2 linked regions of the Xenopus tropicalis genome follow. The protein of the gene in region 1 interacts with the protein of each later gene in a biochemical or structural test. Links are inferred from orthologs where the notes say so. Each region holds a gene or a part of one and is shown on either strand. Other genes may lie near its edges. The genes, in order: tmpo and lmnb1.

Evidence for each region.
Region 2: the proteins of tmpo (region 1) and lmnb1 form a complex in vitro, tested with the Homo sapiens proteins (2 studies listed by BioGRID). The link is inferred for Xenopus tropicalis from reciprocal best matches to the Homo sapiens genes TMPO and LMNB1.

Annotation. Positions count from the first base shown.
Region 1 is NC_030679.2:51,508,278-51,512,746, forward strand, and holds the start of tmpo (thymopoietin), read left to right. Parts: upstream 1-1,641; 5' UTR 1,642-1,714; coding exon 1,715-1,939; intron 1,940-4,469. UniProt on the Homo sapiens protein: May help direct the assembly of the nuclear lamina and thereby help maintain the structural organization of the nuclear envelope. Possible receptor for attachment of lamin filaments to the inner nuclear membrane.
Region 2 is NC_030677.2:168,270,534-168,274,968, reverse strand, and holds the start of lmnb1 (lamin-B1), read left to right. Parts: upstream 1-1,554; 5' UTR 1,555-1,781; coding exon 1,782-2,140; intron 2,141-4,435. UniProt on the Homo sapiens protein: Lamins are intermediate filament proteins that assemble into a filamentous meshwork, and which constitute the major components of the nuclear lamina, a fibrous layer on the nucleoplasmic side of the inner nuclear membrane.

The sequences.
Region 1 (4,469 bases):
TTAGGAAAGCAGACGATCTTAGTTACATTGGGTTGAAAAAAGTCCATCAAATTCAACCCCTCTAAACAAACCCCAGTGCACATCTATACACTCACATATATATCTATATTTACCAATATCTAAATATTTGTAGATTTTAGTATCACAATAGCTTTGGATACTATGCTTGTTCAAGAAATCATCCAAGCCCCTCTTAAAGGCATTAACAGAATCTGCCATTACAACATCACTGCCCTCACCGTGAAACCCACCTACACTGCTTCAAATGAAAGTTTTGTTCCTCTAATATAACAGGTGGCTTCTGGTGCATTGATTGTTTTTATGGGAAAAAAAGATCCCCTTGCTATCTGTCTATAATCCCCTCTAATGTACTTGTATAGAGTAATCATGTCCCCTTGCAAGTGCCTTTTTTCCAGAGAACACTAATCCTACCTTGATAGTCTAACCTCATAGTTTAAATCTTTCAACCCTTTTACCAGTTTAGTTGCACATCCTTGCACTCTCTCCAGCTCATTAATATCCTTCTCTAAGGAGAATGAAAGGCAACAGCTAATTAAGCAAGGTCTATGTAAATGCAGCCACAGAAAAGCTACACTGAGTCCTCTATCAAAAGAAACAGAGGATTTAATTTCTACTTTTGTGTACAAACATTCTTCAGTATCAGACTTCCTTCTCTCAGAAAAATCCTTCAGGCCACGGCCTGAGTCTGCTCAATTTTCTTATTTCTCCTATTCTCTTCTCCTGTTCCCCTCCTATTATCTCTCACTCCAACTGTGCTGTTACCAGCAGCCAAAGCTGCAACACAGAAGTTAAGACCAAGCTAAAACAGAGGGGGGTTCTAGGGTTCTAGAGCTGTTTACTCAGGTACTGTAGCTTTCTGCAGAATAAATACAGTGTTCTAGCTTGCACACTTGTGGCTAATCTATTGCCAATAAAATGCCTTTTCATGCATATTCAAGGTATGGCCTAGGAAACCTATAAAGAGGCAAAATAATGTTTAATACTTTGAGTAAATGCCTTTTTAATGCAAGACAGCACTTTATCTCCTTTAAAAAAATCACCTTCTCTATAAAGAATCTACCAACACACAACTACACTATGTACCAAGTGCATAACTTTGCATTTATCAGCACTGAACCTGGTTTTCCATTTTGATCCTGTTTTCCAAATCTGTCACATCTACCTGCAAAGTGACAGCATCCTACATAGGAATTTAGTACCATCAGCAAATACAGAAAGCGTACTTTCAACGCCCACCTCTAGGTCTTTAAAAACAAGTTAAACATGAAATAAATGTTTCTAAACATGTAAATAAAACATGGCAAACACTGCCCTAACGCTCGTTAACATGAGCTAGTTGCCTATACGAGTTGTAATGGTGCTTAGGAAGCACCTAGCGGAGCCATTCACATAAAGGCGGGCCCTCAATCCCCCCCACCCTATCTCAGCTCACACTGTGCTGTGAAAGGCCGCGCTGTCGATTGTTTTTTAAAGAAAGTCCCCAGCCAATGATTTGTTCTTTTGGTTTGTCCGCCAGCCAATGGCGGCGCGCTTTGTTGCGCTACATCGTCGAATGTAGTGCGACCGTTGCCACTGAGCAGACTGTTTCCGTTTTGATTCCCCCCTCTCATCCTGTTCATTGGAAGCTCCTCTCATTGTTTTGTGTTCGCCGTGATAGGGGTTCTACATTGAGGGGAGACGGCAGCGCTGCACCATGCCAGAGTTTCTGCAAGACCCGTCAGTACTCACTAAGGATAAGCTCAAGAGCGAGTTGGTGGCGAACAACGTGACTTTGCCGAGCGGGGAGCAGCGGAAAGATGTGTACGTGCAACTGTACCTCCAGCACCTCACCTCCCAGAACCGCAGCACCCCAGACTTCTCCAGTGACGAGGAGAGGGAGGCCACCCCTGTGAGAGGCAGAGGCCGCCCCCCGGGAAGGGTAAGAAGCTAAAGTGAAGCCCATTGTGCCCCGTGTGACCGCTCTGGCACTTCTGCAACTCTATCACCTGTACAACTCTATCACTGAATCTGTTCCAAAGCCTCAGGGGCCGCAAGAGGGACAGGTGCGCTAGGCACAATGGCTGCCTCTTGGTAAATAAATGGGGCTGGAGCTCGCAGTTCTGTTAGCCGGCATACAGTTTGGCTTCTATCAAGTGTCTCAGGCTAGGTGCTGGGCGCTATTCCCATCATTCGCAGCAAGCTGTTAGAAGCTGTAACGCCAAGCAGGGAGGAAGGACTGCACTTTAGAGGGGTTTGTTCGGGCGAGTAAATGGCCAGATTGCCATTTTATTTTGTGGCCGAGGTAATGTTTAGTTTACAATCAAGCTAATGAGAATCCCCGGATTGGGTTTCCCGCCGCCTGCCGTGACCGAGCGCCCCCTACTGCCCACACATCTCTTTATTCTTCCCGCTTTTTTCCACCCGGGTAGTTTTTATGCCAAAACCTTCCCGTGAAGTCATCATCCTAATAAATGAAGTGGCTGTGTTATGATTTGGAACGCGTTTCCTTTATCTAAGACAACCTTTATATCACTGTCTCTATATGCAACTCATTTCTGCGCTGCTGCAATATTGTGCCAGGTATCCTTAGTCGCATCAATAATCGGTACCCTTGGAAGTTAAAAAGATATATATTTTTTATCTGGCTTGAAACGGTGTAGCCAAAGCTAGTTCCCCAGGTCTGTATCACCTAGTTTGTTACATTGTTTCAGAGGGCACAGTTGGTTTTGCAAGGGATATAAGGGTGAAGACACACTGAGTTACTAGTAGCAGCTACTTTTTCACTGCTACTAAACGCCAAAAAATCCCCTGCCATGGATTATACTGAGAATTGCCTCTGCTAAAACACATGTTGAAACAATTATCAGTAAATGATCAGCATTGTCTATTTAAGTAGCTGCTACTAGTAGCTCCATGTGTCTTCACTCTAAACAGCCTGACTATCAACAAACAAATGTTGCTGTATATGGTGCTTAAAGAAGTGCATTTTCTTTCATTATTAACAGTTAAACAGTGGATGAAATATTAAAGGCAGAGGAACTCAATATAGCATTGGCATGTACAGAGGGGTACTCATGTCTCTGGTTGTTTTAACAGTGTCCGGTGCTTGTCAGACATGTACGTCCATAGCCTAAATAATCAGGCACATACTGGTTTCTTATAAAACAGTTATATATGTTTAGTGTCCTGATCTTATCAAATGTCTATTGATAAGAACAATCGCGAAATGAAGCCAGACACTTCTTTAAATATGCACTCAGTACTGACACTAATACTTTGACAAACTGGCCAGTCTCATGTAAAGTGTCATGTATGGTTGGCATTAGTGTAGATGTATACAATGTTCTGAGCACCATAATGAGGCAAATAAGCTTATCAAAGAATGGGGTACTTCAAACTTTTATCCTGGTACATGGGATTTATGTTGTTAGTGATCTGATAATGTCTTATGTGAAACGTATTTGTAGAAATGTGGGTTTTTTGTTCGCTTATAATTGTATGTTGTGATAGTTTGAATACTGAAAAACTGGGTTAATATGTATTAAAACTGTGAAGTCAAACTTCACTTATCATATTGAAACTTGATGTGCATTTACACAGGGTACAACAAATATATATTCTGCTCCAACCACTATTGAGTACTTTTTTTTCTGGTAAATTGTCAAAACCAATTTAAAATGAGACTCTTCAAAAAAACTACGCTCACCACTTTGCAAGGTTGGCCCGAGTGCCTTGTCCCTGATCCTTCACTGAAGGCGAGCCCTTCTGTAACTGTTCATAAAAAAAAATATGCTCGCATGGCCATTCACCACTCTGTTCCAATAGTCTGGGTGCAGTGCCTCAGACCTGTAGTATGGAGGTGACCCAGCAGTCAAAAGCACAATAGGGGTAATTTATAATGACTGGGCAAATTTGCACCTGGGCAGTAACCATGGCAACCAATCAGGTATTTGCTTTTATTGCTGAATTTGTTGCTGGATGAAAAAAAGCTAATAACTGATTGTTTACTATAGGTTACTGCCCAGGTGCAAATTTGCCCAGTCTTTATAAAAACCCTCATTATTTTTGGCCCGATGTCGCCAAGCGAACAGATCTTCTCCCGATATCCCCCACCTACGGGTGGGCGATATCGGGAGAATCCAGGGTAATTCGATCATTTGGCCCTGGGGCCAACAAACGAATTATAATGGCGGGCATAGACAAAGTCAGTCCGGGGGCCACATCAACGATCCGATGTGGTCCCCGATCCAACTAGATTTTCTAACCTGGCCGATCGAGATCTGGCTGATTTCAGGCCAGATATCGGTCGGGCAGGCCCGTCGGGAGTGCCCATACACGGGCCGATTAGCTGCCGAATTGGTCCAAGGGACCGATATCGGCAGCTACTATTGGTCCGTGTATGGGGACCTTTAGAGCTAAAAAGGTGATAAAGCCATAGTAAACATACATTTGATATAAATCAAAAAGCT
Region 2 (4,435 bases), on another chromosome or scaffold:
CGCAAAAAATACACACACTACGAAAACTTAAATTTTTTTTGCATTTGGAAACAATCGTACTTTGATAAATGTGCCCCCAAATCATCAGTGGCTGATATGGTGAAGTCAAAAACAACAAATACTGCACTACATGACCAGTGTTGTTACCAGAATACAACAAATGCACATTGGACTGCCATGAGCTATTGTCCCGAAATCTAACTACAAATCCCAGGTGCTGAATGAGATTATCGTGTAGGGTGGTTATGTTCCTTCTAATGCAAATTTGGTAATGTAACCAACCGTCATACTGTATATTACATATCCGGAACTTCATATTTTCAGGATGTTATGTATGTATTCACAGCAAGGACGTTATGGCAGAGATTTATTTAAAATATATTTTATCTTGTTGTGTGATTGTGCCTAAATTGTTTGAGATCATGTTGTCAGAAGCTGTTCTTTGGATAAATGTAAAATAGCTCTTTATGTGATTGGGGAGTCTGGTACATAATTTAACTTTAGTATTCTGCGTGCTTTGGTTTCTTTTTAGTTAATGATAATAAAAGTTATATTTTTATGCATGTTGTTGCTATGCCTGCTGTGGCAAGCTCTATGATTTTGGGGGGGATTATTCCTCCCTCAAAAACTTTCTTTTTGGGTATTTGTTTTTCAGTGTTTACAATAAGGACCATAGGATTGTAAACTCCGTTGGGGAAGGGACTGATGGGAGCCATGTAGACTATGTAAGGCACTATAGCATATGTTGGTGTGAAATAAAATTAAGGACACTTATAAAGGATGGGGACTACAGTGACATTGAGTGAAACCAGTCTACACCAGAGAGTAAAACAACAGGTAGTGTCATTAAACATCTACTGGCTCCCCAGCACTGTAACACGACCATGGAAGATACATTCCTTTCTCAAAGCTATTTTGCTTTAGGGGCTGGGGCCCTGTCACAGCAACGGACAAGCCCGGCCCACTCAGAATGTTATTGTTATTTTGAGCAGTTATGGTTTTTATAAAAGGGTCACAAAAGACACATCCACCATGATTGTCTTTATTGAACCCAATGGATTTTTAAATATCTTACTGCTTTACTATATATTAATACGTTTTTTTTTACTAGTGAATGTTCCTAACAAACTGTATATATAGTACAGTAACAGGCCACTGAGGGCGGGGGTAATTTTGCGAGCGCTATAGGGCTCTCAAACAGCGACTGACGACTATGTGGTCACTACAAAAGAACGCTAACCCTAGATCGCGCAGTATGAAGCAGAGGGATATCAGTCGTATTAAACAGGCGGCGGTGCAGCTCCCTCGCCCATTGTGTGCAGCGCCTCACCCCCATCACATACACCGCACCCTCCCTTCCCTATTATCATGTTCAATTTGAATTTAGTCTCAGGGAAACAAAGTGGGCGCGTCCTGCTGTGTGATTGGCGGGGCGCAGCACGTGACCTTTCTGGCGCCATATTGAGGCCGAGCCTGTGGCAGTGTGTGAGGCGCTGAGTGGGGGAGGTGCTGTGCGAGTGCATGTGCGGGGGATTCGCTGCAAAATTACCCATTCGATTGTATGCACATTTTACATTTTAATCCTTGCGGGGTTTTTCAATTTTAAAAAGTACTTGTATTTTAGACTGCGTGTGCTACTACGGGTGGAGTGCCCAGGAGGGGAAAGTTTGCAGGCAGTGCGGCGGTGAGTGTGTGTCGGCCGTCAAGTATAAAGGAGAGTTTAGCCTGAGAACCGGTACCGTCGCTCTTTTATATAACCATTAGAAGAAGCCAACTGTGCAATGGCCACCGCCACGCCAAGCGGCCCCAGGAGCTCCGGCCGTCGAAGCAGCATGAACACCCCGCTCAGCCCGACTCGTATCAGCCGCCTGCAGGAGAAAGTGGATCTGCAGGAGCTGAATGACCGCTTGGCCGTGTATATAGACAAGGTGCGCAGCCTGGAGAGCGAGAATAGCCTGCTCCATGTACAGGTCACCGAGCGGGAAGAGGTGCGGAGCCGGGAAGTGAGCGGCATCAAGGAGCTGTATGAGACCGAGCTGGCCGATGCCCGCAGGAGCCTGGATGACACTGCCCGGGAGAGAGCCCGCCTGCAGCTGGAGCTCAGTAAGATCTCCGTGGAACATGAGGATCTCCGTGCCAGGTCAGTACCAGGTCCTGCTGTGGAACTACAACTCCCATCACCCCCCTCCTCGCTTTTGTTATAGTTCTGCCGGCTGGAATTCCCTGCCCTATACCCGCAGTGTACAAAGACACGGTTCCATATGGGGGAAGGCAATGTAATCAAAAGACAGGGCTAGTTAGCTTGGCTCCTGCTGCCCTGGCAATCAGTGCCCTGCCAGAACCCTCTCCAGGCTAGTCCATGGACATAACAACCTTCCCTGTGGCTGAGTGATGGGCATAATTCTGTATCTAATCGTTTTCTTCTGCAGCTACCCAAGGGGCAGTAAAAGCTATGTGCAACTATAACTCTTATTGAAAGTGCTGTCCTTTACTATTCTCTGCCCTAGTGACACTGACATTGGGAACAATGTAGCAGAAGCCAGTTGGGAAGAAGATGGCAAGGCTGGCTTCTGCTAGATTTTTTCAAAAGCACTAGCAATGTACAGAAGGGAACTCTTTCAGTTCCAATTACACTTAATGGTTTCTGTAAGATCAGTGGAATTTTGTAATGAATGTATATTTGTATAGAATTATCTTTAAGTCCAATATGTTTGGCTTTACATCCCCTTTAATTGTAGATCTTGTGCTAAAATCCAGGTTAGTGTCTGTTGTCCCCTTGCTCATTAGAGACGGATGGGAGGAACTGCAAAGTATTTTCAGCCTGGGTTGCATAGATCTAGATGCCCATATCAAATATGTGCTCTGGAAATTCTGCAGTCACTTGGTGTTTGGGGTTAATCTTGGTTGTAGTAAACGCCCATTATTCATTCTCCCGCTTACCAACAAATTTTAGCTCAAAGGGGGTGGCCTTTAAAATCCTCTGGAACATCCTCCTTTGAGCAGGTGTCTGTTAATGAGGGAGGGGCTGTTTCTTAGCTCCTCTTGGCAGACTGTCGTCCCTTACGATTGGTTATCCTACAGTAAAATATGCACATGGGAGTGGCAGGGGAGCAACCATTTTCAGTGTAATAGTGAGATTTCCCACTTTATCTTGCTTGTTCTGTGTTTCGTTCATGTTGTCGGTTTTGTGCCATTCTCTTAGTGGCGTGAATTTGATCCCCTTAATCTGCCGTGATTCATTCATTGCGAGCCAGAAAACAACTTCACTCTGCAAAACCCTAACATATTTAATTTCCTTCCTGCGGTGCAAAGCTGCTGGCTTCCTTTTGGCGCTAATTTCATGTATAGACTTCCGCAAGTGATGCATATTAAGTTCTTAATGCATGACTTAAAGAAACAACTTTCAAATGCCTTTTGATTGCCGAGTTCTACAGAAGTATCTTTAAATTGTAGATGATAAAGTAATTGCTCACTTTTGCCTTTCAACTAATTCCTTTAGCTTATGGGAGATGTCCCCCCAAAGCCTTTTTTTTTTTTTTTTTTTTTTTGTAATTCTAAGCACCTTTCCATTATGACCCAACTTTTAAAAGATTGAATGTTTAATTCATTTAAAATGTAAATTCAGTTTAAATGTATCTCAGGTTCTGATTCCTGAAAAATTAGCAGAATATAAACGGGCAGGCGGATACTACCGATGCTATATTGCTGGATCATATGTCGGGATTTACTTATTTACTGACCTATTCCTATTCCAGCCATCCCTGCCCCCAGCTATGGTCTGACAAGTAAAGAGTCAGATCTGTCACTCACTGGGCTAGGCTGGTGCAATCCTTCAGTAGACTGGAGTGCTGTTTAGGTTTGTACTGGAGCCTATAGGAGGATCACTGTGTCCCAGCACAGCTTGACTGACAGGTCTGACCATCTGTGACCTGCACACAGTTTAGGTCCTTTAAATGTCAAACCTTTAGGTAATGCTGGGCTGGGATTCCAATTTCTTAAAAAAAAAAAAAGTGTCTAACACTTTACGGTCATTAGAAATTGGTTCACTAACAATAATGGGGCACCAGGTTCCTTTAGGAAATCCTGGTCCCCTATTATAATCCATAATGATGAGTTTAGAATTTACATCTCTCTAGATTTTGAGAGGACATCTGGAGATAGGTTAAGCAAGGAATGTAAAGAATCTTTTTTTTAATTTTCCGTTATTCTTCCACCACTTTATGAAGTCCAGGGTTGGTGATGTTTAAATTCAAGTAGTTCCATAGTCGCTCTTTGCAGCATTTTGTGGCAGCATATTTCTACTGAATAGTCAGACACCCTGTTTATAGTGGTTCATTATATGTTGGTTTGGGTCAGGCTGCAGTGTTGGGCAGGTATTTGTTTCCCTTGTCCAGACATATTAATGCAGCAAAAAGCGATCCTTTTCATTGTATTA